Sus scrofa: one gene and its partner. The protein of the gene in region 1 binds, or shares a complex with, the protein of each later gene. Links are inferred from orthologs where the notes say so. Each region holds a gene or a part of one and is shown in the gene's direction. Other genes may lie near its edges.

What was found.
Region 2: the proteins of XIRP2 (region 1) and NEBL are in contact, whole or in part, in a crystal structure (PDB 4F14), measured with the Homo sapiens proteins. The link is inferred for Sus scrofa from reciprocal best matches to the Homo sapiens genes XIRP2 and NEBL. Residues at the interface, in NP_689594.4 of Homo sapiens: Pro2420, Pro2421, Pro2422, Thr2423, Leu2424, Pro2425, Lys2426, Pro2427; in NP_006384.1 of Homo sapiens: Tyr963, Asp964, Tyr965, Asp969, Asp971, Glu972, Ile987, Asp988, Asp989, Gly990, Trp991, Met1004, Pro1006, Asn1008, Tyr1009.

Annotation. Positions count from the first base shown.
Region 1 is NC_010457.5:73,724,695-73,728,519, forward strand, and holds part of XIRP2 (xin actin-binding repeat-containing protein 2), read left to right. Parts: coding exon 1-3,825.
Region 2 is NC_010452.4:53,913,098-53,916,922, forward strand, and holds part of NEBL (nebulette), read left to right. Parts: intron 1-855; coding exon 856-948; intron 949-2,725; coding exon 2,726-2,818; intron 2,819-3,825. UniProt on the Homo sapiens protein: Binds to actin and plays an important role in the assembly of the Z-disk. May functionally link sarcomeric actin to the desmin intermediate filaments in the heart muscle sarcomeres.

The DNA of each region.
Region 1 (3,825 bases):
TTTTGAAAATGTGAATGACAGTTCTCAAAAAGATCTGAACTCTGGAAGAGAACACTTGGAATGGGATGAAATTCTGAAGGGGGAGGTGCAGTCCATGAGATGGATATTTGAGAATCAGCCTCTAGACTCTATTAACAATGGCTCGCCAGATGAAGATAACATCTCCAAAGGCATTGCCGATCAAGAAATCATTGCTGGTGGTGATGTGAAATATACCACATGGATGTTTGAAACTCAACCCATTGATACTCTGGGGGATCATTCTTCTGGCACTGAAGAAAATGCTGAGAAAATTCCGGAACTAGCCAGAGGAGATGTCCGCACAGCTCGGTGGATGTTTGAAACAAAGCCATTAGACTCAATGAACAAAATGCATCAAACTCAAGAAGAATCAGTAGTAACTGCCATAAAGGACATAACGGGGGGGGATGTCAAGACTGTGAGATACATGTTTGAAACTCAACATCTGGATCAACTTGGACAGCTCCACTCAGTAGACGAGGGACACCTACTGCAACTCAGGTCTGAGCTCAAAGAAATTAAGGGAAATGTTAAGAGAAGTATAAAATGTTTTGAAACTCAACCATTATATGTTATTAGAGATGGCTCAGGTCAAATGCTAGAAATTAAAACTGTTCACAGAGAAGATATTGAAAAGGGGGATGTAAGAACAGCACGTTGGATGTTTGAAACACAACCCTTAGACACAATTAACAAGAACATAACAGAAATTAAAGTCATCAGAGGAATATCCATGGAAGAAAATATCAAAGGTGGGGTGAGTAGGGCAAAGTGGTTATTTGAAACTCAACCTTTGGAGAAAATCAAAGAAGAGTCAGAAGAGGTCATCACTGAAAAGGAAACAATAATAGGTACTGATGTCTCTAGAAAGTGTTGGATGTTTGAAACACAACCATTAGATATTCTAAAAGAAGTTCCTAACACAGACCCTATAAGATCTGAAGAGATAATAGGGGGTGATGTACAAACTACTAAGCATCTATTTGAAACACTTCCAATAGAGGCTTTAAAAGACAGCCCTGATGTAGGAAAACTTGAAAAAATTACTGCTTCTGAAAAAGAAAAGGGGGATGTTAAGCACCAAAAATGGATTTTTGAAACCCAACCTCTGGAAGAGATTAGAGAAGACAAAAAAGAGTATGTAAAAACAGTGAAACTAGAAGAAGTTGACAGAGGAGATGTAAGGAATTACACACATATCTTTGAATCAAACAACTTAATGAAATTCGATGCATCACATAAAATAGAGGTGGAAGGCATCACAAGAGGTGCTGTAGAGTTAAATAAATCACTCTTTGAAACCACACCATTATATGCCATTCAAGATCACCTTGGAAAATATCATCAAGTAAAGACAGTGCAGCAAGAAGAAATCCTAAGAGGTGATGTAAGAAGCTGTAGGTGGCTTTTTGAAACAAGGCCCATTGACCAGTTTGATGAAAGCATTCATAAATATCAGATTATTAGAGGAATCTCTGCTCAAGAAATACAGGCTGGGAATGTGAAATCTGCTAAATGGCTGTTTGAAACCCAACCTCTTGATTCAATTAAATATTTTAGTAATATGGAAGAAGTAGAAAGTAAAACTGAACAAGCTACAGATATTGTTAAAGGGGATGTCAAAACCTGTAGATGGCTTTTTGAAACCCAGCCAATGGAGTCTCTTTATGAAAAAGTTTCGTTAATGACTGGCAATGAAGAAATTCATAAGGGAGATGTCAAAGCCTGTACTTGGCTCTTTGAAACACAGCCACTTGATACCATAAAAGATGACTCTGAAGCAACAGTCAAATTGCAAACTGTAAAACAAGAGGAAATCCATGGTGGAGATGTACGTACAGCATGTTTTCTTTTTGAGACAGAAAACTTGGACAGCATACAAGGAGAAGAAGGAAAGGCAATCAAGGCCGTGGAAATAGATATCCAAGCTGGGGATGTCTCCAGCATACGGCATAAATTTGAAAATCAGTCCTTAGATTCTATAAGTTCCAGTTCAGAAGAAGTTTTGAAAAAGATCAAAACCCTGAAGACTGAAGATATTCAAAAAGGCAATGTTTTAAATTGTAGGTGGCTTTTTGAAAACCAACCAATTGATATGATAAAAGAAAGCCAAGAAGGGGCTGAATTAGTTAAGACAGTGACAGACATACAAGGTGGAGATGTAAGAAAGGGGTGCTTTATTTTTGAGACTTTTTCTTTGGATGAGATTAAAGAAGAATCTGACTACATTAGCACCAAGAAAACAATTACTGAGGAAGTAATGAAGGGTGATGTAAAAAGCTACAGAATGCTCTTTGAAACCCAGCCACTTTATGCAATTCAAGATAGAGAAGGGTTTTATCATGAAGTGACAACAGTTAAAAAGGAAGAGGTAATTCATGGAGATGTACGAGGGACAAGGTGGCTTTTTGAAACAAAGCCATTAGACTCAATTAATGAATCAGAGACTGTGTATATTATTAAATCTGTCACACAGGAAGACATTCAGAAGGGAGACGTTAGTTCTGTTAGATACAGATTTGAAACCCAGCCACTGGATCAGATTTCAGAAGAATCACATGCTATTGCGCCCACCGTGGACTCTATTCAAGGTGGGGATGTAAAGACAAGTAAAAAGTTTTTTGAGTCTGAAAATGTGGATAAAAATACGTATATAAGAACAGTAAGCGTCAATGAAATACAAAAGGGCAATGTTAAAACATCTACTTGGCTATTTGAGACCCATACTCTAGATGAGCTGAGAGGAGAAGGATCAGAATATGAAAATATCAAAACTGTCACCCAGGAAGATATGCAGAAAGGTGATGTGAAGCAGGCAGTATGGCTTTTTGAAAATCAAACCTTGGATTCCATTAAAGAAGCAGATGAAAGCATCACAAAAATCACCAAGGAAGAAATCCCTCCTTCTGATGTTAAGACAACTACGTGGCTCTTTGAAACTACACCCCTTCATGAATTTACTGAAAACAGGGTAGAAAAGGTGGAAATTATTGGCAAGAGCATTAAAGAAACCTTAGAAGAACTTTACTCGCAAAAAGTTATTGAGGCTCCTGGCATCATCATTGAAGCGGACGAGGTTGGGGACGTTCGAATGGCAAAATATAAGCTCATGAATCAAGCATCTCCTGAGGTACAGAAAGAAGAAATTATCAGAGTTGATATCAAAAATATAATGGTGAACCTACTTTCCAAAAGAGACTGTACAAAAAGAGAGATTTTGGTTAGTGAGGAAGAGAAGGGAAATGTTAATTTGACCAAAACTCAATTATTAAACAGATCAACAGAGTTTCATGCCGAAAAAGAAGAGATAGTGAGTGGTGATGTACAACAAGCAATAAAAAATCTGTTCTCCCAGAAAAGTTCTGTAAAGAAAGGCATTTTAATTCAGGAAGATGAAAGAGGAGATATTAACATGACTATCTATTGCCTCCTTCATGAAAATGCTGGTGACACAACTGAGCGTGAAGAAGTAATAGGGGGTGATGTAAAACGTACCATTCATAACTTGCTATCTTCCATATCAAACAATAAGATATATGAAAGGGCTAAAATTGATGCCTCTGAGAGGGGGAATGTTCAGTTTTTTACAACATGCATAGAAACAGGAGCTTTGGATTATCTCAGACAACTCCAGACAGGATCAAATGAAACACTAACAGCTGGGAAACAAGAAAAAGAGGAAGAAATCATTGGTGGTGATGTAGAAGGCACAAAACTATTATTAAAGAAAAGGCAATCTCAGGTTGAACGTACTGTTAATGAAACTGACATCATCCCAGGAGATGTGCATAATACAGTTAAGGT
Region 2 (3,825 bases), on another chromosome or scaffold:
CATTTCAACATATACCTCTTAAGTCTAGCCTGTGTTTCCATACATATGTGTGTGTCCTTTTTCTCAAATCCAATCGTCCATACACGTCAGACATATTAAAATACCCCATGTTAGGTTGGCATCATTAATCATTTCATAAGTTTAAAGAGCAGTTTCTTGTCCCTGGCATAACCATGTGCTGGCACTGCCATTTATCTAGTTGGTCTTCCTCTAAGTAGACTTGAGGAAGAGCTTTGGACTGGAGTGAATGCCAGGACACAGGCGGGCCTTGCTTGGTTGCGTGGGTAGAACATGCTACCTGACTTTCTGCCACTGGCCCTTCTGTCATGACCAGCACTCAGTGGCCTCTGCCTTCCCTCCATCTTCCTGTCTCTCTTATTTTTTTCTTGTTCTGGATTATTTGCGTACTCTCAGTCAGGTAAGCCATCTTCCCAAGACGTTGTAGCTAACTCACTTTGACTTTTGCCTTGAAATACATGGTGAATTTTAATGACCATATTAATAAATAGAAACTGCCGTTCATATCAAAATAATCCATTATTAAGATGATTTCCAAAGTTTTGGGTGCATCTGCTTAGTGATAAAAATTGATTTTCACAAGCAATCTATACACATTTTAATGAAAAAAGCCTCTTCAGTGAAGGATGGTGAATAGATATGGGTTTGTTTGTACTTTAGGATACAAGAATCCGAAAGCACCCGGTGAAATAGAAATATGTGTTCCCATGGAAAGAAAATTAATATTGGAATTGAAAACTTCAGCTATGCAGTCGTTACAAATGAAGAATTCTTAACTCTTTTTAAGTCTTTTTAAGTGTCGACTGACTCACATTTTCTAAAAAATAAATTACGCAGGTGAAATACAAAGAAGAGATGAAGCCTGCAACAGCCATTTGTGATCCACCAGAGCTAAGGAGAGTTAAAGAAAACCAGAAGAACCTCAGCAATGTGTGATCATATTTCTTTAAGTATTGTTTTCTGTGGGCATGGCACTTGTGCGGGTGAAGTCCCATCACAGTGAATTCCGGGGCAGGAGGGCCGGGTTCGGAAAGGTGGAGATAAGATCTCACACATCTCTCCATCAGGCTACCATCACACCAGAATGTGTGCCCTGGCTTATTAAAGAATAGGGCATTGAACATGGTAAGACCTCTCTTCTTGTCCTTGGGGCAATTCAAAGGTGAGAGAGCCAGACCTTCAAGGTAGGGGCTGTGAGTGTTCTCCAGGTCTCTAGGAGAAACAGCTGTAGGAATAAAGATTCTGCGTTAAGTGCTGTAACAGTAACTAACATTGACCGAGTGTATATGATATCTTCTGAGTTCTTCCCATGCAGTGGCTCATTGAATGTTAAGTAATAATTCCCTTTTCAGCGTGCTGGGGAAATGCAGAGAAGGAAGGCTATGTCAGTGAGAGACGGGAAAACCTTTGGAGAAAGAGTAACATTTGAGTTAGCTCTTGAGGAATGACTCAAAGTTTGGACAGGGGGGATTTCATGAGGAGGGGCCTTCCTGGCAGTGCCAACCGAATGTGTTTAGGATACAAGATCAACTCAAAGAGGGGGAGGTTTAGTGTGATGAGCACTTGGGTGAAAGAAGACAAGAGAGAAATGATAATTCAGGCCATGAGGAGGCTATTGGGAGTGCCACTGTTCAACAAAATTTTCCCCTCGGAGCTTTACCCAGAGTAATCTTCCTTTGTACGCTGCCATCCATAGACATTACACTGGACCTTTCCTCACTTTAGGCACTTATCCGGCACAGACTCTCCCTAAACTCTCAAACTGCTTACGTCGGCACAGAGAAAGAAGCCACTCTGGCAGGGGCCTGACCTTTGTCATTTATTTTTCAGGCTCATCAAACTTCACTTGCACATTCACTGCTGAGGGTATATATTGCAAGTCCATTTTATCTGCAGGCCCTGTAGGCCTTGTAATGTCTTGCAAAAAAAAAAAAAAAAAAATTCCCTAACACTAAATTTAAACTCTAAAAAAATCATTTAGACTGTTCCTGTGGCGTGCCTTATAATGGGATTTTAACCTCTAGTTTTCTTTTGCCTGTCAAAAATTCATTGGGTGGACATGTCCTTCTATCTCTCTGTGTTAGATCCTCATTTATTCCCCGAGGGGCTATAGAATTGCTGGGAAGCCTGACCACAAATGCTGGCCTGATCCCCCCAGCTAAGAAAGACTCTATGCAGTAGGTCGGAAATACCTCCCTGATGCTGGTCAGAGCCTGGGCTTCCAGTGTTGGAACTTTGTAGAGAAGGAAACTTTGAGGTTCAGAGCTTGACAACCACTCACTGAGGTGCGGGCACAGGACTGGCATAATCCTCCTCTCTAATGAGAAGAGTGCAGAATCTTTATTCTTAAATATAAGACAGTCATTTAATAATGATGCTTTAGTGCTATGAGGAAATGAACTCACAGAAAGGATCATTTCTCATTACTGATAAGATCCAACTCCGAGAGGCCACCAATAAATAACACAATTTGATGAATAACACCCCGAGGTAGAATTCAAAGCCTTTGAGTAAGAAAAGGCTTAGATCCGGGATCACGGTGATGATGAGTCTATTAGCAAATCGTATTTCACTGTAAACACTCCTAACGAAGATTTTAACTCACGAATGCCCCGTTCCCACGTGCCATGCCTTTGCATCAGTTCCGGAGTACCAGCCCCCCCCCTTCCTTGGTGTAACCCTGCATTGTCTTGGCCTTGTCTCCCAGCTACAGTACCAAGAGCGATGCCACAGAGCAACCCCAGTGAGCAGCACGCCAGAGATGGAGCGGGTGAGGAGAAACCAGGAGCAGCTGAGCGCGGCAAGTTGTTTCTGCTTTCTCTTGTATTTTATCAAACAGTGTATGTTTTCATTCTTTACGATGCCTTTGGAAAAGCTTCAGACCCTCTTCATCTCGGACGCCGATGTTCAGCAGTCACATGGTGAAGGGCATGAGCTGGGGCCCTCCCAGGGGAGCCCAGGAACCTTGTTTATTCATGACATCCTCAGTAAGCACATGCAGGCACTGTCCTGGTCAGTGGGACACACAGATGGGCAAGACCCACTCCGGTCCTCGTGGGCCTCATAATTTAGCTGGTAAATCTCTAAAACTGCACCCGGATTTGAAGACCTGGAGACATAGTGTGGTGGGTCTGTTGTAGATCTGAGAGAGAAAAAAAAAAAAACAGAGAAACTTGTCTATCGGAAAACTAGAGAAGCATGTAGGACCTAGAGCAGAAACTGTACGCAGGGGCCCTCCTGGGGAAGGCCTCAAATACGAGGCCGAGGAATTGGTACCTTCCTGCTTTACCACCTCTGCTATGATTTCAACTTATGATTTCACCATTTTTTAATTTATTGCTGTGTCTTGAACATTCCCATTTGTTTCGTTCACAGACTCCTTGTTGCGAAATTGGTTTGCTCGTCCTCAATTACATGTTTGTTGAATGTAAACTCCTTCTATTCCATGTCTATAAAAAACAAGAAAATATTTGTAATGTATTTATATTTGTTGGTCTAGTTTAACAAAGATCAAAAAGGGAGTTCCCAGGTGGCACAGCGGGTTAAGAATCTGGCATTGTCACTTCAGTGGTTGGGGTTACTGCTGTGGCACGGGTTTGATCCCTGGCCTGGGAACTTCCACATACCATGGATGCAGCAAAAAAAAAAAAAAAAAAAAAAAAACAGGAAGAATAAAGTTTGATTTTCCACCATTTAAAAAGAAAACAAAAACAAAAACAAAACTTGTTTATTGAAATATTGAAATAAGGCAAAAGAAGGCCTGGCCTGACTGTGGTTGTAAGATATAATGTCAGGACGGGGAACCTT